Alligator mississippiensis: one gene and its partner. The protein of the gene in region 2 purifies or fractionates together with the protein of the main gene of each other region. This does not show direct contact. Links are inferred from orthologs where the notes say so. Each region holds a gene or a part of one and is shown on either strand. Other genes may lie near its edges. The genes, in order: ANAPC7 and ANAPC13.

Evidence for each region.
Region 1: the proteins of ANAPC13 (region 2) and ANAPC7 purify together in Homo sapiens (affinity purification with mass spectrometry; 3 studies listed by BioGRID and IntAct, counting the BioPlex papers as one, with this or other methods). This does not show direct contact. The link is inferred for Alligator mississippiensis from reciprocal best matches to the Homo sapiens genes ANAPC13 and ANAPC7.

Annotation. Positions count from the first base shown.
Region 1 is NC_081833.1:2,202,243-2,215,072, reverse strand, and holds the start of ANAPC7 (anaphase-promoting complex subunit 7), read right to left. Parts: upstream 4,755-12,830; 5' UTR 4,684-4,754; coding exon 4,583-4,683; intron 4,173-4,582; exon of another isoform or gene 3,803-4,172; coding exon of another isoform or gene 3,789-3,802; intron 3,312-3,788; coding exon 3,125-3,311; intron 2,756-3,124; coding exon 2,636-2,755; intron 912-2,635; coding exon 800-911; intron 556-799; coding exon 402-555; intron 1-401. Other genes in the region: ARPC3 (actin-related protein 2/3 complex subunit 3), read right to left, coding at 7,315-7,377, 8,987-9,081, 9,511-9,637, 10,902-10,970, 11,274-11,350. UniProt on the Homo sapiens protein: Component of the anaphase promoting complex/cyclosome (APC/C), a cell cycle-regulated E3 ubiquitin ligase that controls progression through mitosis and the G1 phase of the cell cycle.
Region 2 is NC_081830.1:30,840,138-30,852,199, forward strand, and holds the start of ANAPC13 (anaphase-promoting complex subunit 13), read right to left. Parts: upstream 5,003-12,062; 5' UTR 4,914-5,002; intron 4,849-4,913; exon of another isoform or gene 4,765-4,848; intron 4,755-4,764; exon of another isoform or gene 4,668-4,754; intron 2,877-4,667; 5' UTR 2,845-2,876; coding exon 2,746-2,844; intron 1-2,745. Other genes in the region: CEP63 (centrosomal protein of 63 kDa), read left to right, coding at 10,486-10,529. UniProt on the Homo sapiens protein: Component of the anaphase promoting complex/cyclosome (APC/C), a cell cycle-regulated E3 ubiquitin ligase that controls progression through mitosis and the G1 phase of the cell cycle.

The DNA of each region.
Region 1 (12,830 bases), on a different chromosome or scaffold from region 2:
AAAGCTTTACAGATCATCACTAGTAACTTGCTTCTGGATGTAGTTCAAGAAGTTAAACAGTTCGTAACATGAAACACTAGGGAGGTGGGCTCACAGTAACTCGCTTTTAAAAAGGTTTGCCACAAACTTGGGCAGTAAGTCTAGAATATCATTACTTTTCTGCTACACAGACTTCCAAATCAAGATTCTTGCAATATGGGGGACACTCTCCTCCTCCCTCCCCGACCTGAGATGTTTCGTTTGGCATCTGCCAAAATCCAACGAATGTTTAGAGATTGGGACTGTATAGCCCTACACAGCACAAAATTCACACCATACCATGTCAAACAATGTGTTTAAATCTATTAACATCCTATGCAGAGTAACGATTCAAGAACACTTTAATTCACCTTGATTCTTACCAGATGGTGTTGATTGCTCTGGTGTTATCTCCAGTGTGCACAAAAGCATATGCTTTGATCCACACTGAAAGCCAGTCCAAGTTGGGGATACTCTGAATTACATTCATTGTCATAGAGGCCACTTCTGCACCTTTTACTGAGAGGGAGAGCAAACCTATTCAGAAAAACACACCAGTCAAGTTTCAAGTAACCAATGCAGTTGGTAATACAAGTTAGCTAACTGTTTTAAAGAATGACAATTTAATTGCTTTGTAAACTTATACGGATTATTATAAATAACTGCCTGTATAATTCCTAGATTGTATTTGCTCATTTACTAAGTCTCAAGCACTGCATGTCGGTAATAACATTGTTTAAGATTAAATATTTAAGTATTTGGTAGAAAAAAAGAACTCTACCTAGTATAGCATCAAGCGCTAGAGGACACTGCCTCAGCACTTCTTTATAGCTTGTAACAGACGACCGTTCCTGACCTGCCTTCTTGTACAAATTTGCCAACATCATGTTAATCTGTAGAGAGAGAGGGAAAAAAAAGAAAAAAAAAAGTATTGGCTGTGATAATCCAGTCTACAATTATGTAGGGCAGAGGTTCATCACTGAGAGAAGGCCCTAGATTCATTACAGCCCCATCTTTCCAGCTCTAAGTAGAATACAGAAGTTATGAACCCAGCTTTACAATTCCTTGTATCCTGTAAAATAAGTGTTTCTTCTGATTCAGAAGGCAAAAACTGAGGTAATTCTTTTATAGTTGCATAAGGCCTCTGAAAACCTCAGTTTTGCATATATTAAATCCTGATATAAGCAACTATCTACATATGTGGAAGTGATACCTGACAAACAGCTGCATCTTACGTTGGTTTCCTTTCACCAGCTTTCTCTACATAGTGAGGAAAGGCTGCCAGAACTGTAACCTTTGGGAGGTGGAGGTTTTTTATTTAGGTTCTGAATAACTTAACTGCTCAGGAAATAGCTTAAATTCAGGTCACTGCAGCTAGCTTTTGTGGCACAGTTATTTTGGTTTGCTGACATACAAGGGGAAGAAACTGCTTGGCCTCTCAATGTTTTCATTTTTGTGCAGTAAGTCTGGCTTATGGCAAGACACCTTGTAGTTAGTTACACTGGCCAAAATGTAATGCTAACAGTCAAACCTCAGTTAAAGTGCACAAGGTGTTAATGGTTCAAGAGATTAACTAGATGACAGAGCCAGCAAGCAAAAGACTCAACATTTTTGGCTCTGCATGCTGCTGTGATCTAAATATTTAGCACTACATAAACTACCATTAAACCAGGGGAGAAGAATCTTGAGGGAACATAGTTGCTGGGTTTTTCCCTTCTATTCATCAGGCCAGGAATTTTCTTCAGCCTCAAGAAGCACACGCTGCTGAGGTCACAACAGACAGCAGCACTTCGTTTCCTACACAAGCTGTCCTCCTAGCAGCATTCAGGAATCTGGTGGGAGGATCACCATACTCAGAGCTAGGGTATTTACCAGCACAGCAATTAGTCTTTGTCTGGAGGAAAGTAAAAACCAGGTATGAAAGGTTTTGGATTGTTAACAGACTACCAGGCAAAAGCAGAATGTTTGTAAGTCTGGTAGAATCCTCAGTCCTAAATGAGTTAGACACATACCACTAGAAGTTAAAGGGTCTATTCTTCCTCACACAGGAGAGATTTTGTAATTCCCACTAGTAAGTTACTCACTAATTTTCACAGGAATTAACTGGGGAAGACACACAAGCGTTTAGTTCCTTTTAGTTAGGTGATTTTTTTTCAAATAAAATCCATATTGCGATCTCCTGCTTTAAAGAAATGAGCTAAATGAACTTAGCTAGTATAAACTACTGAAGGAGCATTTCCAAATCTCTCATGTGGACGTTGCAACCACAAGTGCCAAGGGTTGATGTCTTTATATATACAAAGCTAGATTTGCAATTCTGGCCAAATTAATATTAAGCTCCAAATATACCCAAACTACCCTCTCAGCAGAGAGAGGTAGTTAGCTGCCTTAGTCTGATGGTACACAGAAACCATGACAGGGCGGCACTTACAGCATAACTCGTTCATGGGCATAAGCTTTTGTTGGCTACGGCCCACATCTACTATGTTAGATGCATGTGAGGAAGTAGGCTGTAGTTTACAAAAGATCATGCCTTTCTGGTATCCGTGCCCTCTTTAAGGTGCCACCCTGCCCTGCCCTCTGTCTTCTCAGACCAGAAACACATCCAGGGATTTACCTTTGGGGTTCTTTGTCTTGAAGGAATTCCATCCAGGATAGCAATGGCATCTTTATCTTGCTTCAACATTGTGTAACACTCAGCCATTTTATATTTCACTTCAATTTCAGATGGCAGACACTAAAATAAAACAGATTGCTAAAATATAACCTCTCAAATGCTGTTTTAACTACATGAAAAGAAATGGCTGAATCATAAGTTTTCTATCAGATTTTTCATTAAAGATAAATAAAGTGCAAGGAAGATGGTAAGCTGTACTTGCATAACTCAGGCTATTTTGTAGCTTCTAAATGAAAACTGTAAATTTAAGAAGCAAAATTTTGGCCCCAGGTAACCATCTTATGTTTTTTCCATGAGTTCAGCGCCATTAGTAGTTAAACAGTCTAAAAATTCAGGCTACTTTAGTATAGCAATGTTATAATCTAAAGTCACAACATGAACACACCAACAGCCCATGTCACAACATGAACACACCAACAGCCTAAGTACCTGACTTTGTGGAGTTGATGCAGCATTCCCAGTAGAGGGTCTAACTTTTGAAGTTTTACTTAATGCCTTCTTCTGCTGCAAGGCCATTGTATACTTACTTACAGCATTCCTATACTCCTTGTCATGAAAGAGGGAGTCTGCATGATACACAAGCAGCTGGTACTTTTGAGAAGGGGAGAATAACTCTCTGGAAGAAAAAAAAAAAGTGATGCTTAACTGAACTGTCTGATGACAGGATACGGACAAATTTGCTAGAACCTAAGTTCTCAGTGTTAGGAAGGAGGCCCTTAGCTATGACCCAGAAGTGGAAGACGTATGAGTGCAACATTTGCACCTTTCATTCACAAGTGCTTTAACCCAAGGCGAGAACAGCCTTAGCAACCCTAAGCATGTCTTTAATGACTCCCGAGCGGTGAATACTGGGTGCGTTTACATGTTCTTTAATGCATGTCGTTACGGCGCATTAAATTTAGTACCTGCAATAAAATAATAGGTATTAATGCATTGTAATCGGTGCCAGTGCACATTAGCGCAGATGAACATTTTTTTGTGACGTTAATGTACATTAGACTATGTCTACTGTACATTAGCATGGTTTTTGCCAGCCGCCCTAATGCGCAGTAGAATTAGTCTAATGCGCGTTAAACATCTCATGTAGACGCACCCTCTGTGAATCATCCTCTTGAAGAGCAAGCGGACTTGGATTTTAGAATCAGTACAAATCCGGAGCGATGCTCAAACTTGTGCCTCTACAGCACCAGTTCCCAAACCGCGGTACACGTACCACCAGCGGTACGCGTTCACAGATTTATTATAATGACTTTACGACAAAAACGTGCTGGTGCCACGTAACTCTGAACTGAAACTTTTTTGGTGGCACTGAAGTTTGTATCGTTTTAAACTGACGGCGCGCAAACCGCTCCTCTAGAGACAACGCTGCCGCTGCTATCCAGTCACGCGGTACTGAACCCGTCACTATCTCGGTTAAAACATCTTCAAAAAACTCTGTTCTTGATCCGAAGACATCAAGAGATAAAATGCGTGATTTCCTTTGCCAGGTTAGTCATGCCCGTTCAAAATCGGTCCCTCCTTCCCACCTCGAATCGCCCGGCTTCAACTCGCTTCTTGTTACGCCGTTCTCTGTTAGGTTAAAGGGAGTTTTTTTGGACCCAAGATTTTCTACCACTGAAGGGCTTCGCTTACTAGCCCAGGCCGCGCTCAACCTCTGTTTTGAGAAGGGCAACAGAAGTCTCTCAGGATGAGCGGTTTCCCCCAGCCCTTCAATCATTTTGGGGGCTCCCTGCCAGACCCTCGCTCCGAGTGCAACCCCCACAGCGCACGGGACGATCCAGCCCCGGGGGAGGAGCACGGACAGGTGGGCGCGGCCAACTGTCAACCGCCAACGGCCAACCGTCAACCGCCAACGGGCGCCCCGCCCCGCCCCGCCCCGCGACTCACGGGTTGTTGCCGCTCATGGTGAGCAGCAGCCCGCTGAGGATGCGCACGTTGGAGTGCAGCCCGGCAGCCGCCATCTCCCGCACGTGCTCCACCACGCTCATGTCGGCGCTGAGGCGGCTCCGGGCGGCTGAGGCGTCGCGAGCCTCCAAAATGGCGCCGCCGAGGGGGCCTCGCCCTCAGGAGGATATAGGAGTCCGGGGATGGCGCCTGTGCCCGCGCCTCGGATTCACGCCCTGCTGATGCCTGCCACTGAGACCTCCCTCCCACCCCCTTTGCCGCGCGGCCGGGCACAAATGGGGAGTTTTGCAAGCAGGCACTAAGGAGGACGCCTCAGGGGTAATGCCGATCGCGCATGCGCCGAGGGAGGGGGAGTGCGCAGACGCCAGCTGGTGGCCGGCGTGCGCGTGCGCAGTGGGACTCGCTCGCGTGTGCGGCGCTCGCCAGCAGTTTTGGCAGCTGTGCTCGCACTGCCCTTGTGAATTCAGGCCGGCTGCTCAGTCAGTAACAGAGGACAGGAACGAGCAACGGCTGTGGCTGGGGGGAAGTGGAACAGGACTCAGAGGGGTGTTTCCCAACCAGTGTGCCATCAGCACTGAACAGATGCAGAGTTTTGTCATGGCAATGAGCTACAACAGGTATGAGGAAGGGGAATGCCTTAACAAGTGTGCCAGGGCAGTTGTTATTAATGCAAGTGAGCCTGGGGCTGGAAAAGGGTGGGAAACACTGCTGTAGATCTCTGCTTTTAACCCAGCAAGACAGTTAGATGTGGCCGGTGCCGCAGAGGGGATCTTGTCTTTCTTTCCTTCGCCCAGGGTGGGCCGATCCTCAGTCTCCTCCGTCCGAACGAAGAGGTTCAGGATCAGCGCTGCTGCGTTGGGTTGTGGCTGGCGAGACCGCAGGGGCAGCTGGGTGGAGCGTGGCGCCGGTAACTGCTGAACGAGCATTGGTGCAGAGGAGCACGGCCCTGCTACAAAGAGCTGGGATAAACGAGTACAGGTTTGTAAACTGCAGCCCTACTATTAGTTCTACTCGGCTTTCTACAGGAGCACTTCCCTTTTCATTTTGCAAGGGCTTAGTATGAAAGCCACAGCACCAAGCACTGGTTACTTAAGCATAAGACAGAGCCTCTGGCAGCACTATACTACTGGGTGCATTGAGACTTCAATCACCCAGGATCTGATTTTTTAGAGGTGCAGAATACCCTCAGCCACCCTTCCCGTTCCAGCCTTTCTACCAGCCTTCTCCGCCAGTAGCTGCTTAATCTTTCATCCTCCTAAAACATCCTTCTTCCACACTGGGTGCTCTACAGAAGAGTGCCCATTGCAAGAGGCAGCCATTGGACTCCTGCCAACAGTAGAACTGAATGAATGCTTTTAGTGCATGAGTGTAAAAATCTTGACTTTTCAAAATTAATTCTTCAGGCTTTTAATCTGATATGTAAGCAGGCAGTATATTTCAAATAGATAGAAAGTGTAAGAGGTGAAGCTAAGCCTGACACCTCAGATTTTGTTTAAATCCAAAATTTGAGCAACTCAGTTTACTGCTGATGGTTTCATATTCCAGCTGTAGACATCCCATCCAAGTGTTCTTCTTTAATAGCTTATCAGTCCAAAGTATTGTTCGCTATTTTCTGAGTGTTCCAGCTCTAAGCCATCCACTCCCCTTTCTGCTCCACCCCTGTTTAGTGCGCAACACTTGCCTGAGAAGAAGAATGCTATGAGGTGATCAACACTCGATGTCTTCTGCAAATCTCCCTTAATTAGAACAACAAGTTACATCTATATGTCAGCGGTTGCCCTAATGCAACTATATAGCCAATGGCAGCTTACAGCCCAGAATGACGCCGGTCTTCACGCAGGTGGCATCATCACAGTGCTCACTGCAATATGATCTTTATTGAAAAACATCTCACAGAAGAGAAAGTGGCCTGAATAAAGTCTTCAGGGTCAGGATCCCTTGTGTTTAATCCAGCAGAGACAGAGAGAGAGAGAGACTTCCCAGTGCAAGGGTGGCACTCTGGAGTCCCAAAGTAGGACGGACCAGCGACTGAAGTAGGGGCCTGGATCTCAGGGGGAAGTCCTGGCCGCATTCAGTGGCGTCGAGAATTTATCCCAGGATTCTACTCTCTGTGCCTGTGTAACCCTGGGTAGCCATTTACCCTTGCATCTCCTTCCTTTCCCATCTGTGTTATTTAGACAGTAACCTTGTCAGGGCAAGAAACATTTCTTACCACAGGTTTCTACAGCTCCTATAAAACAAACCCTCAAATTTACTTGAGGCTTGCTGGCACAAACATAACAAATCAAGCTTTCATTTTTGTATAGCTATCCACGTTCATAAGAGATAAAACAGGTATCATGTGAAATAAGCTAAGTTTATTAGAAAAAGGAGTAAAATTCACCATGCTTTACAATACAGCCTAAGTGGCAATGACTCTAGCCAGCAGAGTAACTGCAGGACACATGTAAGACACATTATATATGAGGCAACTGATAATAAAAGCAGCATTGATCTGAAACAGCATGTTAGAAATTGTTTATTAAGCACCAGCTTAATATTGTTCACTTACAGGATTCAAGGGTCCTTTTGCTCCACCTCCCCGCATTGACTGACAGCTTTCCCTCATAAGCACTTATTCTTCCTTGGTACAAAACATGTATGAAGCAAAAGCAAAATATTTTTTACACCTTGCTGTAGACTGCTTAACCTTGTTGCCACTCCTCTTTGCTTCTTTACTGTCCTGGACCTGACAGGCTCTTATTCATGAACTGTCTCTTCACAAAGCAGATCCACCACTAAGAGAGAAATCCACAGTGAGATGATATACCAGAGGAGTTTCCAAGTAAGCAGTCTACGTAAACAAAGCAGGACTTGTGTGTTCTGCCTGACACCCACTATGTAAAAACCCAACTCTGCACAGACCAGGGATCCAGTTTTCAACAGTGGCTTTAACGAGTTTTAGGCACTCAAGGCAGGCAATACAGGATAATTCAGATTGTAACACTGGGACACTTGCATTAAAATACTCTTTAAGGTGGTTGTTTCAATGTTAGCTTCCAAGTATCTTGCTTATTTGGAAAAAAAGGAGAGACATACACACCTCAAAGTGTACTGCATGCAGTTCCAGTCTAGATCTGGAAGCTAAGCAGTATTTGGGGGGGGTGGACGTGGTCTTTAAAACTCTGAAATCTTTTCAGTTATTTCTTTCCCAGAAGTGGCCATTTAAGAAAGCCCCATACCAGTTGCTTTAAAAACATGACTCCTTGCCTTTGATGCACAAGTCTCTGGACCAGACTCTAGACATCAGGCAGTCAACACTCATTCTGAAACATAACTAGCTCAATAATATTGAAGTTACTGTTCAAAACTGGCCTAAGCATCTGAGCAAATATGCAAAATGCATCTACCCTAGGCTGTAACCTCTTCTCAGAAACGACACACCAAGGCAGGCAGAAATGAAAGGAAGGAGTTAACTCAGGGATGAGCGAAGTCTGGCCCATTCAGACCCATGGTGGACTCCCTTTTCCCAGCAGCCTCTGACTGCCTCACTGCAGCCAGTTTCCATGGAGACCCCAGAAGCAGTGGGTCCAGGGTTTCCATGGAGACCGCCAAGCAACACTGGCAGGGCAGTGGCTGGGCAGGGAGCTGTTCCAGGGCCAGGAGCTTGTGGCGATGCCTTGGCTCCAGCCCCCACTGTCAGAGCGGGGCATGCAGGTAGTGAATCATGGCTCTGCCCCAGTTTGGACCACGCTGTCACCACTGCAAAATCCCACCCCCAGCCCTGGAGCAGCTCTCTGCCAGCACTGCTTGGGCCGTCTGCATGGAAACCCTGGCCCCACACTGGCACAGCCCTGCCGCTCCCAAGATCTCCATGGAAACCGGCCCCAGCAACACTGGGAAATCTACTGGCCAGATCCACCGTATGGCCCATCCCTGCGTTAACCGATACATCCGTTAGCAAAGTGCTTTTCCCCACACAGGAAGAACTGCATCGCTCACTATGGAAGAGGCCAAGTACCCTCAGTGCCAGACGCGTTCTCTTCTATGCAGTTGAGTGTGACCAGCTGGGACCTAGCACTTTGCAGGACTGACCAACAAACAGACTGTTGCCTCTGTGTTCTTGGACAGGATGCTTCTGCCTGTGCAGCCTAGCCTGGCTTTTGCTACCATCTCACTTACAGACTCATCTAAATCACAGGGCGCTACCCTCCTATCCATCTCCCTGCTGCCTCTGACTTCCGTTCTCCAAACACATGCCTTAGGGAGCAAATCCAGAATTATTTTCTTTTCCCCTGAAGCTGACATTCCCCAAGTGTCCACTAATCAGGAAAAAAAATGGAGGCCAAAAAACTGGGATTAAAAAAAAGAAAATGTATTGACCAGTTTGTGAGAACAGCATCTTACCTTGCTAGGTTTGTCACTTTGGGGATCAAACACCTTTTCACAAAGCCTAAGTCCAGTTTCTTGTCTCAGCTGCTGTAAGTAGGCCCTCATCACCTCTGGAAGAGAGCATGGACCAATACAGATTGGAGTGTGCAGTGTTAGATACTGTCTAAGAATAGTTCTGGCAGCCAACAGCAAAGCCATCTGATGTGCTGGCTAAAGAGTGGATTAGCAATGTCTGCACCCCTAGCATCACCTTCTGTTTTCAACACTTGCTGAGCCAGGGTTGCTTAGTCCTGAGCACAGCAGGGTAAATTACCACAGTTTAGTTTCCCGTGTTGTGGGATTGGAGCAGAGCTGCTCACTTGACAGGATTAGCAGGGATACAGCATAGTAACTCTGTCCCAAACTCAGTCAGACTCCAGGTACACAGAGAAAGCAGGACCACTGATTCACAAGGCAGTTTGACAGCCACAGAAATAAAGCAGGCTGTTGGATCCATGCTGTAGCCTGAAGTTAAGTGACAAGGCTGCTTTTGTTCTTACCGTCCTCTTGCTTGTTGGAAGGTTTGGCATAGATGGCATTGAGTGGAAAGCCAGGCTCCCCAGGTATCGGGAAGTTAGTGATTCCCAGCGTGTACATTTCCTTTTCTCCTTGGCCTTTGGAATTACACTGGAAAAGCCAGGAAAGAGACCAGTTCAAACATACCGAGAGAAGCTGTACCACTTTAGATATAAAGTATGTAGCTTAACTAGGATATTGATACGGGACTACCCGTGGGAGAAAATACTGAAGGTGTCTTATGTATTTGTCCCTGATTAAATGAGAAGTTTCTTTACACAGTTTGGGGGCCCTGTGCACTTACTACAAAACAAAAGGTTTTCTGAACTACCAGGGGCTCTGGCAGTCGGGCCTGAAGCCAGCTGCACGTATAGACTGTACCGATATAAACCCTTCTTGGTTAGTAGTACAAAGTACTTTCTAATAGATGCACCAGTATAACCCCCAGTGTGAACTGTTATACTGATATAAAAGGAGCCTTATACCAGTATAGCTTATTCCTTTATCCAGATAATACCAGCAGAAACATTCTAAGGCATGTTTATAACTACGTATACACGAAGGGCTTGTAATGGTTTATGTATATTGAGCTAGTCTGTACCACAGAAGTTTTACTGCCTTGACAAGCCATAAAATCTAGTAACTTGCCCGAACACCAATGTGTAGCCTCTCTGGCTTACTTTGTGGTGTGTACAGACATATCCAAAGGCTAAGTGCAGCATGCAGAAGAAAGCAAGAGTAGAATATCCCCAGTGAGTCTTGAAGAGGAGCCCAATACTTTCAGGCTTGATGTGGGTGAGGAACAGGCAGAGAAAACCATGGTAGAAACTGATGACTAACAGGGTTATTCTGGACAGATGGGTTGGGGGGGAGGGGGAGGAGCAGCTGAAGAAAGGAAGTCAGAAGAGTTGATGAGACCAGAACTGATGATCGCATCAGAACTTCACGCTGCCTTTTGGCCCAACAGGGAAGGGATTTAAAATGAAGAGGAAGCTATGAGCATTTCCCCCCTTAAAGCAGCGCAGCGCAGTGCGGGCAGGCCCTCCTGCAGACACACGGCCTATGTCAGAATACTAAAGATTCAAGAATTACCACACCTGCAGGATGGGGTGGGGAGCACAGCACTTGGTCCCCACAGCTCCTACCATTCATTAAGGCTTTGCCCAGCCAATTACCATTTTTATAGAGAAGATAATCCTAACTAACCCATAGCCGAGAAGGGTGGTGAACATTTGGTGTCCAGGCACTAACTGCTAGCCAGCAGCATTTCTGCTTATGCAAGTTTTCCAGCTGCTTTAGGGCAACCAGCAGATCAGGCACGTTTTTGTTGTCATTTATTTTATTGCCCTCCTCCAGCTTAGCTCTGGGATCTTACCTTCTGCAGCTTTTTCAAGCACTCGGAAATGTAGAGAGTTATGTAGATCAAGGTTCTGTCGGCCTCATTCTGCAAAATAAAAAGCAGGCACAAGCCACCATTAGACCAGGGGAGGACTTTACAGTTGCCAGGAGCAAGACTAACATGCTCAGTCCCTAGTCTCTCACAGAGATGCACTGACAGCACTCCTGAGGAGTTTCCTCACCCAACTTCTTTTAGAAAGGAAAACAATTGTTTCTTTGCATTTTTACCATACACAAAAAGATATAAACTCTCAAGGGGGTCACAAGTGCTGCAGTGAAACAGTTCTATGTTTAAGTCAAGTCCCAGCCTCCACAAATGTGCACAATACCTTAAAGGTACATTTCTTACCTTAATTTCATAATTTTTGAAGAAGACATTTGCTTTGAAGTAGTAGATTGCTTCATCAATAATATCTGTGTCCTTTGCTAACAAGAAAGAGAGGGAAAGTTAACCAAGATGCAGGTGTACAGGACTGGCCGAGATGCACAGTAAAAATTCCACTGTTTCTTTTCACTAGTCTGTAGAAAAATAAAATCCTTACGAAATATGATGCTACAGATAACTTATCCCAGTTCTCAGCAAAGATTTGATAGCAGCGGTAGTGCTGTGGTCATGCCCCATATGACTAACGTGCCTTTATTTGCACGAAGGAGCACAGGCTACAGCCACTCACCACTTGAACAGCAATGAGTTCAAGCTTTGTACTTGCCCAAGTAAAGCAAGCAGCTTTGTTTTGTCCATTTTTGCCGTGATTGCTCGGTAATTCCCAATGGGTCTTTCAGTCGTTAGTGAGAAATAACAACAAGTCTACTATCATTACAAGAGGATGTTGGTTATAGCTATCATTATAATGCCCTCTGAGATCAGGTCTAAGGGAGGAGGGGAAGAAAAAGACTAATTTAAAATTAATCAGGAGAAACATAATCCTTCACCTTCCTCATTTAAAAAAAAAAAAAAGAGAGAGAGAGAGAGATAACAAGCAAGCTCATAACATTAGATCCAGCAGGCTTTGGGTTTCACCAGTTGACACAAACCACCTAGATCTAGAGGTTGGTCCCTTTCAGCATTGAAATGGTATAATGCTGTGGAGCAGTTGTGGAAAACAGAGACACAAGATAATGAAACAGCATTAAAACAAGCACTAAATAAAGCCTTCCCTGTGGTTTTTGAACAATTTTATCTAGACACCACCACTTCCGGGTTCTCAGTTCTACTTTGAAGGAAGTTACAACTACAGGGCCTGCCTCCCCCATTTCTCACTGTACAGAGCAGCAGAGGCACTCTTCAGCGTTGCTGCTTTTTTAGCTGAAGACTATGCTAATTTTTCACCCTCTTAATCTAAGATGCATTTCTCTAACACGACACATGCCACTCATCAGCTACCTAGTGAAAACCACACCCGAGAGGCCACAGCAAAACTTGTCCTCCTGCACGACACAGCAAACCTAGCTTGAAATGAATGAGAAGCTTAAAATACATTTTAAAAAGCAAAGCAATTAGAGAACCGAGAGCTGGATCTCCTTGGAGACCGTAAGCTTTGGGTCTTTGAAGGCATGAAGAGAGAAGACAAACCAAAATGGTTTGAGCATTTAAAAGACAGATGAGGAAGTCACTGCGTTCACTATTAATCTAGACCGAGAGGCCCCACTCAGTCAGGGCGACCACAAAGTTTGTTTCTACCACATTATTCATGCTGCCTGTGCAGCACACCTTGTTCCTTGCCGTCTACATCTACTGCAAGCTCCCTGGGACTGTGAATTCTGCATTTAAGCACCGCCTGGCAAAAATGGGGCTCATCTCAGCTGATCCCTAGACCCCACTGGAATAAGCAAGCGACATTCTCCCCCTCACGCCCTGATGCTACTCATGGTATAAAAAATACGCAGTTGTGGCCCCTGTCCCAGG
Region 2 (12,062 bases):
TAGATGAACACACAACTAGGGAAAATAAGTTATGGTTTGACTGAGGTTTTGTTTTACTTATTAATAGTACCTACTGTGTTTTGCCATAACTGTACAATTTCTAGTGTGCATATGTTATTCTGAATGAAACCGCCAGAGCAGGATTCTCCCTTCTGAGTCATGGGCTCCCTAGCACGAGACAAGACAAAAGGACCTTCTCAAAATCTAAAATTTGTTTCAATTAGGACCCAATCCCAAGCGTACTGGAGTCACTGGAAGCCTTCATGGTTTACTGGAGTTTGGATCAAGCATTAAGGGAAGCAGTAGTTAGCACCATATTTAGGACCCTTCAGTCAGTCCCTTCTTGATGTTGTTGAGTGAAAAAGTCTTCTGAAGAAGCTGTGCTGGATTTTCAACCTGTTCATAGACGATCATATTTCAGGTGACAGGAGGTCCATCCCCAGGCTGCATACTTATGCTATGAACTAAAAATCACTGCTAGTTGGGTAAGTATCAGCATGAAAATAGATCTTGAGCTCACCAGAACAGAGTACCTCTGGAAGGCCTTTACTCAGTTCATTTAAGGCTGTATGAAATCCAAAAATGAATGGGGTTTATGTGGGGAGGGTGTGTGTTTGAAGAGTAACAGGATATGCAGGTATCCAATGGAAAGGGGCTGCAAAGATCCTGGTGTACTTCAGAGTTCATGATAGATCAAAAATAGTTGCTAACAGACCTAGGAGAAATCAGTTCCTCCCCTCCACTCCCCTTGCTGGCAGAATGGTAAGGGAATAGAGAAAGGGCAAGTCCTTGGGACTCCCTCACTCCAGCTGAGAGATGAGGAAAGGGGAAGTGTAGTGGCCCTTAGCACTGGATGCAGTTGGGGATAAGGGGAGCCACTTTTTCAACTAGCTCTTGACTGGTGATACTACATGCCTCTGGGGAAAGGGAAAGATGTCAAAGATAAGATCTATGGGCCAGATCCAGCCCATGGAGCCACATCATCTGGCTCCCATCCCCATGGTGGATCCAGCTCCTGCTCCAACCAGTTCAGAACAGGTACCACTTGTGGCACAGTTCCAGAATGCCAGAGCAAGGGCTGGAACAGCCATGCTGGAAGCAGCAGTGCTCCACTGGATCCCCTGCATGCCAGATCTGGCACTTGCTCTGGCTGGTCAAGGATCTGTGCTGCATGGAACAAGCACCATGGACCGCACAAAGCAGATGCTGGATCCAACATGTGGTGGGGAGGGTCCATCATGTGGTGGGGAGGGTCCAAGACAGTTCACAGGCTGACCCCTGGCAGTTTACCCAGTCCATGAACCAGTCCCATGCCATTCACCTGGCCCACAGGGACAGATAAGTTGGCACCTGTGTCCTGAAGGGAAGCTGCCTTGTCGTGTAGGTACCTTTATGAGCAAAGAGACTACCAATACAGATGTGTTCAAGTGCACAATTTAAGGGGCACCTCTGGCATGGATTGTATTTCAATACTGGGATCACATAACAGATGCTTCTATGCGTCATAACCCAATGATTCTTAGTGCCTCGGCACATTGGAATTTTCCCGCCACATGGAGCTTTCTTCGCGCGGTGGATTTCTCAGCTGCAGAGAGAAATCCCTGGTGCAAAAGAGTTCCTGCCACATGCATGCAAATTAGTGTCCCACTATTGGTCAATTCTAAATTATTCCTACGTGGCGGCTAGCAATTGGCTCGCTAGCCGTACAAAAGGTTAGAGCAGTTTCCGCCCAAGTTGGAGGACTCCACAACCATCTCGTGGGGAACTCTGAGCGTGCTGTGGAGCCTAGCAAACTCTGCGTGTGCCTTGGAGGAGGACATAGAGGCCTGATCAGCTCTTAGCCACTCCCCGTCATAGTGAAAATTTGACGTATCCCCCGTGTAAAGCGCTCGTGGAGTCATACATCGACGACTCATCTCGGTTCGGTGTGGTTCGGAAGAGATCTCACTTGTGTTTGTTTGTGTGCAACTGCAACTCAAGCAAGTTTCCTCCCTGCACTGTGACCATCGGCAGTGTAAGTAAAGCTTTCTTTGTAAAACCAATACGCTTCCGTGCCTAACTCTACTCCGTCGTGGAAAAACCCCATCTGACGGTCCAGGCTACTGGCCATAGCCTTAGACCGACCCTTGGTCCCGACACCATGATCACACCATTTTAGTAATAATTACAGTGATTGTTTACATGGAAAAGTACTCTTAGGAAAACACTGAATGCATTTTAGCAGCTGGGAATGAAAAGTAGCCAACAGTACTTAAATGCTAACTCTCCACACACTGCCAACACAAGGCTGCTTATCCGAGACCCACAGACCCCAGTCTGGCAAACTGCTTCAAACACAACCAGCACTATAATAAAATGTAGTTTGATAAAAGAGCATCACTTGTGCTTGCCCCTAACCCCAAACAGAGGCAGGGGATGGGAAGAAGCATTGCACCCTCCAAAGAGGCTGACAACTGACTAAGAGCAAGAGGAGAGGTTTCCTCCTTCCAAGGAGTCAAACAGCTGTGGGATGAAAGCATTTGTACCCCCACCTGTGGAGGGGGAAGAGAAGGGAGGAAGTGGGGGAGTGAATCCCATGTTCTTGCCACACACAAAACAAAGGGGAAGCTGAACAGAGCGGTATAAGAGTATTTCTGGTACAAAGTGGTGGTGTTGCAAGGATCATTTGCTTAGAAGGGGTTAAGAAATTTGGAAATGCAAGGACTCAAGATCAGGCTGTTAATTCAGTGCACAGCGGTCACCTACCAGGGGTATTGCCACATCCTCATATGGTAACTTGTCTTCCCTCCAGGCATCGTCAATCAGATCCAGGATTCTCCCGTCCCTCTGCACCTCACTGTCCATCAGTGCGCAGCCAGCCCGCAATCACGCAACACCTGCGAAACAAAAAGGACGTCATTCGCAATGGCCCAAACCCTCTAGAGTGGTACCTTGGGGGTTGTTTTAATTCCTGTTGAGAAAAGCCACTCAGGAGATCTTGGCTCTTGCATTCACATATGCATCATATGGTTTGGGGTGGTTTTGTTTTTTTTTTGAAATTCCATGTCTCAGGCCAAATCAACTCCAAATTCTATTGACTGAGCAGAGCTCAACTGTTCAGGTCCATGTGGTGCTACCACTGGCAAGTATCCTACCTCCCAAACTCTTCAGCCTGGGGCTTAGGATACTCCCAAACCCATGGCAGGCATCCTACATGCAAGCCCCAAGGCCTTGGGGTTTACATGCCCCCTAGTCTTGCTTGCCCCTAGCCAAAAAGCTGAAAGAACAAGCTAGGGGCATGCGCAGTGTCAGTGGCGCCTTTTTGTCAGCGGTGCTTGGGGGCGGTCGTCACTCGCCACCCTGCCGCTGCCTGCGAGCAGTCAGTGATCCCCGCTGTCTACTGCTGATGCTGCCGGTGGCATCTGTGGGTGATTGCCGACCTCTGGTCGGCGCTTGCCCCCCCCCCCCCCCCCCGCCAGTGCTGGCAGCATCTGCAGGAGCTCCCCACTCACCACTGACATACTCCCACCACCGCCGTGCCCCCCCAAGAGCAATCCTCAGTCATCAGCATAAACTGTGTAGGTGAGATCCTCCCATTAGGAGGCATCTGTAGAGTCTTGCAATGCAAGGGGCAGACCTTCACTCTCTAACTCAAGAGTTGGCCAAAATACAGCCCACTGGCCAGATCCAACCAACCAGTTGACTGGATCTAGCCAGCGACTGCCCCTGTGGAGCTCTGCATGGGGCCAAGCCCAGCCCAGGCTGCGCTCCTGACTCTGTCTGCAGGCCCCAGCCCGTGTGCACAGCTTCTGGCAGAGTGGCTCCTGGTGCAGCTGCAGCCCCATGGGTGCTGCTCAGCTCACCTCCAGCAGCAGCTTTTGCTCCTGCTCCTGCCCGTGGCGCTGCTTCCAGCCAGGGGAAATGGCAGCCGAGCGGGTGGAGCAGGTAAAAGGTGGCTGGGAGCTACAAGAGCCCCATGTGCTGGGGTAGGACCCACCGGCTGAAGCTTCCCCCACCTGTAGCAGCACACCAGGGGCAAGAGGAGCTGCCTCTAGAGGTGAGGGGAGCTCAGTTGAGCAGTGGGGCCCAGCAGGAAGCAGATGCCCATCCTTCTCCCGAATACAGCTCCCCGCCTATGGCCCCATCCCACAGTGGGGGCATGTCTACATGAGACGCTTAATGCACATTAGCTTAATACCACCACGCAGTAGTATGTCACGGCACAAACCATGCTAATACCCCACTGCCAGTAACTGTAGATACTGTGTGTTCAGTTAGTCCAAAATTAAGTAATAAATTCACAGGATCTGAGGCACATTAATGAACGTGGATGTGCCCACAGAGTTTGGGTGGGTTGCTGCGTGGACCCAGCACACAACAGCTCTTCACACCTCCCTATGTGGCCCCCAGGCCCAAATAATTACATAGTCTGGCTCTAACTACCCCGGGCCTCTCAGGGACAAAAAGACAGGGGTCCTTCTGCAGTGCGCTGAGGGGCTCGAGGAGTCCCTGCACAGGGTCAGGACCAGGGAGAATGAGTAGAGTGTTTCTCCTCTCCCAGGCTCGCCTCAAGCAGACCATCACCCCCCAGCAGAGCCGTCCAGGTTCTGAGCACATGCCCCCACCTCAGAGCCCAGGGAGGGCACTGCGCATGCTCCTATCAGCGCACATGCGCATTATCGACCTACCTTCGCGCCGGGGGGGGGGGTCCTCCGCGCCTCAGGATTAGGGCAGAGTGCCTGCTTCTCAAGATCAGGGCGGGGACCCGAGCCGCAGTCTCACAGCCGGCAGTGCGCATGCTCCGGCTCCCACACATGCGCACTACGCAGCCAGCCTTGCACTTTTGGGGCCTATGTCCCTTCCCTACCGGTGAGAGAAGCGCTCCATTCCTTCCCCCCAGCGCCAGCTCCGCACGACCCCTCCCGCGCGCTCACCCCTTCGCTCCTCCGCAGGCCTTCACGTGACTGGCCGCTCTGAGCCGCGCGAACTATAGAGAGGAAGCCGGGCCCTCCAGCAGCACCGCCGCGGGTAACGGCTTGCCGGACCGGGACGCCCCTTCCCCTTGCATTGCGCATGCGCAAGCCTGGCCCCGCCTCCTTCGCGCTGGGTGACCCAAGGCGAGTCAGGCGGCGTAGTGACGGTGCCTCAGTTTCCCTGTGCCGCTCCGGGCCCAGAGGCCCTTCGCTTCGGCGGGCGGGAAGGCGGCCCCTGCCCCGCGCTGTCTGCGACCCTGGGGCTGGCCCGGCCCGGCCCGGCCCGGCCCAGGCCAGCGCGTCCGGGTGCCGAGCCCCACTGGGCCCCTGGTTTGCCCCCCTTAGGCCGGCGGGGCCCCTGGCCCGTGCTGCACCCGGCGGCGGAGGGGGGCGCTGCCCCGGGGAGGCGGCATCCAGGGGCATCTCCAAACCCCACCCCGTGTCGGGTCCGAGGCGCAGGGGATGCCGCTCCTGCCCGCCTGCCTTTTCAGCAGCTGCTCGGGGGCTCGTTTGCCCCCTTCAGCACCACTCACCACCTCACCCTTAGCCTCCCTCACGCAGGGAGGCAGCAGAGAAGGGGGGCAGTTGATTGCTGGGGACAAATAATAGGAAAACGGACAGGAGTGAAGGTCAAAGGGCCGGAACAAGAGTGCCAAAGGCGGGACGCCGAGTAGAGCTCACTGGACAGTCCCTGCTGGCCCCCCAACTAGTCCAAGGAGCCAGTGGGCACTGCCCGGTGATACTCAGCTCGGAGACGGGTGAAGACGGGCCTGCAGTCCCGGGGACCCTCCTGGCCACAGCCTCCTTTCTGGTCAAGCATCACTGACAAAGCACAGGCTGCGTTGTCTCCGCGGTTCCTGCTATCAGGCAGCGATGGGAGATAGGGTAGCATGTGCTGGGACCCACGGGGAGCTCTGCGGGCTGAATGACACAGGTCTGCAGGGCATGTCTTGGCTGTTGGCTGGGCACTGAGCACCACAGAAGTTGTGGGCTCGAAAATACAAGTGTCTTTAAACTTACATATTAAATACTCTGTAAATAAGGGATTTTTTATTGATACTTGTAACTCCTAATGTTAAAGCCCTTTGGAAAGTATCGGTGGTACTGGATCCTTCAAGGATTAGAAAGAAATGGCCAGAGACTTCCAGTATAATGTATGGTGATAAACCAACAGGTGCCACCCTTGGCAGCAAGGCATTTTCTGGCCATCCTGGTTGAGGGGACTGGTCAGGAGTTGCTTCTGCAGCGATAGACTTGCTCTGTCCTTGGAGTCCACCCTGAAAGTTCCGATGTGTTGTAACCGCGTGGTTTCACGACTTGCTGGGAAAGGGTTGCGGGTTCCCTTCTGTCTTTATTGACCCCATTGCTGAACTGGCTTGCTGCCTCTGTGCTCTTTTTACCTTACAGTTAGATGTCCCGAAACAAGAACAGCTGGTGCCATTGAGCCATCTGGATCTTTTCTCCAATTTCAGTCTTGGTAACTCTTTTGTTCCTTGTCCATCCCAATCAGGAGGCATCACAGCTTAGTGTTCAGAACAGTGTGACCCTATCTTGCACCTTTTTCACATAGGCCCTGGATCAGGAAGATGCCCGCGTATGTGTTTAAGCTTGATTTTGCTGGGACTATTTCTGCTTAAAATTAGACTCCTGTTCAAGCACCCTGTTCAGTGTCATGACCTTAACTCTGACTGCTTTAGTTGCTGCTGTTTAGTGTATATAAAACATTCATTCTTAGCTTCATACCATCTGCAAGCTTGAAATGGCACTCTCTCATGGTTCAGAGGAGATCAGCTAGTAAAATCAAATCAAATGGTAAAAATGAAAAGAAAACATGCAATGTAATACGGAATGATGTAATCTAAAAGTCCCAGTGTTGTGTTACTTTCCAGAGCTGGAAACACCTGTGCCAAGACAAAATGAAAACTTTAGGTATCAGTGAACTTTGTGAAGCGTGAATCCCAAAGCAGTCTCTGCAGGGAGGGTGGGGAGCAATTCTTGACATAGTTAAATAAACACAGTATGTCTTATTGTAGGCTGTTTAACTGTGACGGTAGGGCTTCTGGCCTTTCCTGTTTAATTTAATTGTTTTCAAGAAATGTCTACAGAGCCATTTATTTTAAAAATTAGGAACTTGGGAATTTTGCAAGCTCTTGTGATTGGACTTGAGGAAAACAATATTATGTTACACAATAGCAGCCTTTATGGCTACCTATTTTAATATTAAATTCAGGGCCTGACTTGGATACTGTGACTGCAGTATCTATTGCTCACTGTGGAGCTGTGCTTCAGGATCTGAGATGTCATTTAAAGGAAAACAGTATTGAACCATTTTGGTTGGAAGTCTGATTGAGGTACAGCATGTCAGGGCATGAGGGAATTTGTATTTTCTGAGAGATAATTGAATGAACTGGGATTAGGCTGGTAAAGGAAAAAGCTGTGAGAGGTGAGGGCATGGGGTGGAGTTCTGCCAGGTGGCTGCTTTGGTCGTGTATGTGAAAAAAGCTGGAGGGTCTGTGTAAGGAGCAGGGCTGAGCCTGCAACCCAACTGCAGGTAGTCAGCAGTTACGAGTGCAGGAAGGGTGACAGCAGCTGCAGCTAATGAGGGATTTGAGGTGGAGCCACAAAAAGGCTTCAAATATCCAGGCACAGATTGGAAAAAAGCAAAAAGAGGGGAGATGTGGTGCTTGGGTAGAAGCAGTGAGTCTGTGTTAACTCCTCCCAGGGTCTGAAAAAGACCACAGCCTTTTGGGTTTTGTTTGTTCATTTGTTTGCTGTTTGTACACTTGCTTCTTTTATTGGGTTTCCTTTACTGTGGGGACAAGGTTGTTCTGGTAAAATAAGTAGTCTGGAAATCTGACCACTGAGCTGACTGGCTTCTATAAGGAAGGTGGGTGAATGATGACTTGAGGCTCTAGCTGTGGGGGTGGGGTTGATTCGCAGAAATTTAGAGCTGGAAGGGACCTTATGAGATCATCGGGTCCAGCCCCCCCCATGATCGTCTCATTAGTAACACTTCTGCAAGGTCTGAGGGTGGGTAAGAAGATGTATGTAGAAGTCCTGCTCTGTCCAGGTGAAAGGGGGGGATGGGATTGCTTGGGGAAGTTGTGAGCTCAAGAATACAAGTGTCTTTAAACTTGCATATTAAAAAAAAAATCCCTTATTTACAGAGTATTTATTGACACTTGTAATTCCTAATGTTAAAGCCCTTTGGAAGGTATCAATGCAACTGGATCCTTCAAGGATTAGAAAGAAATGACCATACTGACTTCCAGTATAATGTATGGTGATAAAGCAACCGAGTTTTAAGACCTACTGAGAGTGATGCTTCTGTTGTTGTTCTTCATAACTCAGCTGTTCTGAGGTTGAGGGGCTCTGTTTGGCTAAAGGCAGATTCAAACTGAAAATGTGATGAAGGTAGTCAAACAAATGGTTTTCGTGTTGGCTGTGACCTTTTAGAGCAAATAAGCCATCAAGAATAGTGCTTTATCTGTCAGGTTGTAGAAACAGTGACATAGGCCTGGAAGGGTGGCTTGGCTCGGAAGAGAATATATTATTTTAAAAAGCGGGCTTGCTTTAACCCTTTCCTTACTGGCTACTAGAGTCCAGTGAAGAATTCCCTGGAGTACATTGGCAAAAGATGCACTATTTGGCATTTGACTTAACTGTTGTGTGGTCTACATCTTTAAATTGGTGTGACGGTTATACTTTATGAGATCTTAATTTGACAGAAATCCTTGGGCCCCAACTATGTCCTTGCCCCCCTCATTAATATATATTTACGTTTATAGCTGAAGACTTAGTCTATTTACCACTGCCAGCAGCCTCAGTCATTTTTAAGCCAAAAGTCCCACCAAGCAGTCCTTTCCCGAGGCAATTGTACCCATCTAGATACTTCTATTATCACCAGTATCTCCCTTGACGTTCATCAGGGTTTTCCAGCATTGCCGTTACTTCTCGTCAGATGTGGCACTTACTTCAGCATGGCTTTTGCTATCAGTGTTGCTGCCAGAGCATTGGTTAGGTTGGAGCATACCCGACGCTGGTGTCATGCTGATGTGGCTGCTCGTATCTGCAGGAAAGTGTCAAGGAAAGAAAAGCTCAGAAGTGAACTGGTGCTTATTGAGTTTGTCTGGTTTACTTGTCGGGCTCAAAACTGATACTGCTGCATGATCTTTCCCAGGTGCCAAACTGGCATTGCAAAGATATCTGTAAGAACTAGTGATGAGAGAACAGTGAAAGGTTTGGCATTTGGAGAAGCATCTTATATCACTGAAGACTGCACAACTTTCCTGTACAACAGAACCATTCTGCCCTTGGCTATTTTCCTGAAGGGTTCCTCTTGTGTGGCCTCTGATAAATGGCCTGTAGTATAAGTAAGTACAAAATACCCTATTCTTTGGCAACTTCAGAGGGTCTCTCTCTCTCTCTCTCTCTTCTTCCCTGCCTGCCCCCAGGGAAGCATGAATTTTTTCTCCTGGAGATGCCTTAGTTTCTTCTGTTTCCAATCTTTGGTGTTCTTTCCTTTTAGCTCTCTCATCTTCCTTTCCCCATTCCTCAGTGACAGACCAGCCCTCTCCACTGCAGTTTTAATTATCAGGGAGGGGAGTTGGTATTGCCATCAGATTGCCTTCACGGGTGGGAGTCTAGAGAGAGTGCTCTTGGTTGCTTTCTCTACCTCTTTCTCCACTTCACACCTGGAGATGGGAGAAGAGGACAAGTCAGCTCTCTGCCTCCATGCTCATGAGCATTCACGGTTAGCATCCATTATTAAATTGACCAACCTCAGGCAGGAACAACCAACAGTCCTGGTACGTTGGCCATTGTTATTCTATCTAGAATTGTCCAATCCAAATCAGGCCACCTGGCTGGTGCGTGGAACTGGCAAGAGAGAGGTACTTACCTTGGGCAATAGAATATCAGGGAGCTTAGGGAAGGTGGAGCTGGATATTTTTCAGTGTGAGTACAAATTATCCCACCATTTCTTATTGCAGGGTTCTTAACGTTTTTGTTGGAAACAGCTTGTGCTGGCCTCTGTCCCAAACAAGATGGATGCTGGGGCTGCTCTAGTCCAGCAGTTTCTGTGTCTCTTTACAGTTCTGCACTGTCCTATGCTCTTGAGGATAAAAATCCCCCCAGCCCCAGTATGGCCTGACCCATTCAATTAACCAGCTTACTAAAGTTCACAGCCTGACTACATATTTCACATCCACTGTTTGAATCATTGTGTTTGCTGGATCACATAATTGCATCAGCTAAGCTGATGGTAATCAATAAGCAATGGTCCTGATTTTCTTGTTCTGACTGATTTCTTTATTTTTTATATCTCTGGCCAACATTTGGCCTGCAAGTCTCTTGAAGAAGACTCTGCAACTCTTTTGCCCCTTCCTACACATACCCTGTAAATTGCATAATTTTTCACCTCCTTCTCCCCACTCCAGACTTCTACAGCCCACTGGAGAGCATGTTATCAAGTGCTGCAGCCTGACCCCCACTTCGCTTGCTTTTCTAGCTGCTATAGAGGACCACGTTTGTGATGGAGGCTTTGCTAGAGGGAATGCAAAAGCAAGGGCGTGGTGGGTACGTATGCAGCTGTTTGCAATAGTCTCCTCTCAACTAAAGAAACACCTGTATTAGTTTAAGTTCAGATGTTGTAGTCCTTCAGTTCTTTCCTTACTCAGCCAAACCTTTATCTACACAGGGTTTTATGCTTGAGTAAAGCCTTCAGGATGTAGTTAGTGGGGCTTGATATATTGTGCCACTGTTTTTTGTTTTTTCTTATTGGAGCAGGAGCAGACCTGTAGTGAATTGCTTTTCCAGAAGTCTCTGGCTACCAGCCTTCATAGTTTTAATAGTTGGCATATCTGTACTTTCAGCTTTCTGAATAATTGTCATTTCCTGTTATATTTACAGCCTTCTTACAAGCTCTTTTGACACTAAGTGCCATTGTAGTGAAATACATAAAAGCAGCATGGTTCCGCTCTGCAGATCTGCTCCAATCTGTTTGCTTTCCTAGCTGAAATAAGTCCTACTGCTTCTTGCTCCTGCTGGCATTGTAGGGACTATCCAGTGGCAGGAGTGCAAGCTGTATTCCTTTTTGGCTTGCGTGTTATCAGCAGAACTGTTAAATGTCTTCCAGCTACTGAATCTTTAATGCTAGAGTCAGGCTAAAATACATACAGCTTTGAGAGCCTAGGCTGAATCTACAATTCAAAAAAAGGAAGAAAAAGTAGAGTTTTACCTAGTAATTGAGGAAATTTGAGCTGGAAGTCACTCTTCTGCTTGTATTCCATCTCTGTGTGAGACCCTTTTGGTAATCCCTTTTCAGAACTTGCCCAATCCTTAAAGATGGCAAATACCATCTCTTCCTTGCATAACTAGCTTCAGAACCTAAACATGAATCTTATTATACAGTTCCTGCAAACAAAATAAATGTACTTGCCATAGTTCCTGCTTAATTTTTGGTCACTTTGCAGGACAGGGTGAACATCAAATTTAATAGTGAGGTTGGCTCCTTTAAGAGCGTATTTTCTTTCCCTATAGAAAAACTGTCAAGTTGTGAAGTGTGCAGCCACTCTGGGGAAACAGAGAAATTTCAATCCTTTAACCTATTGATTTCCATTTCTTTTCAGTCCTTCCTGTTTGACAGGCAAATTAAAGGGGTAAAGATCAGCATGGAGTTCACTGCTCTCTGGGGCTGTATCTTGCAATACTTAATAGTGTCCCTAGCTGAGCAACTTGTGAAGTTTCAGAGAAGTTAGTTGAATTGGCTTCACTGATTACTGCACCAAATTCGCAATCCCAGATTCTCTAGGGAGCAGACTCTTTAGTAGATTGCAAATGTTTTATTCTTCATTATTGTGGTGTCATCCAACCTGTTCTACTTAGCGGTTTGTCAGCATTTATGTGATAAACTTCTATTTTCAGGAGCTGATAACTTGGCTGTAAGATTTCTCTTGTGACTCAAACTTGGTATAAAAAGTCTCTGCTTTGGGGCAATATTTTTTTAAAATATAAAATATGAGAAACCTGTTTAGCTTATTGCGCATTGTTAGAGTGCCAAATTGCAGAGTTTAGTATTTTAAAAATGTTTTTATGCTCCTATTTAATACA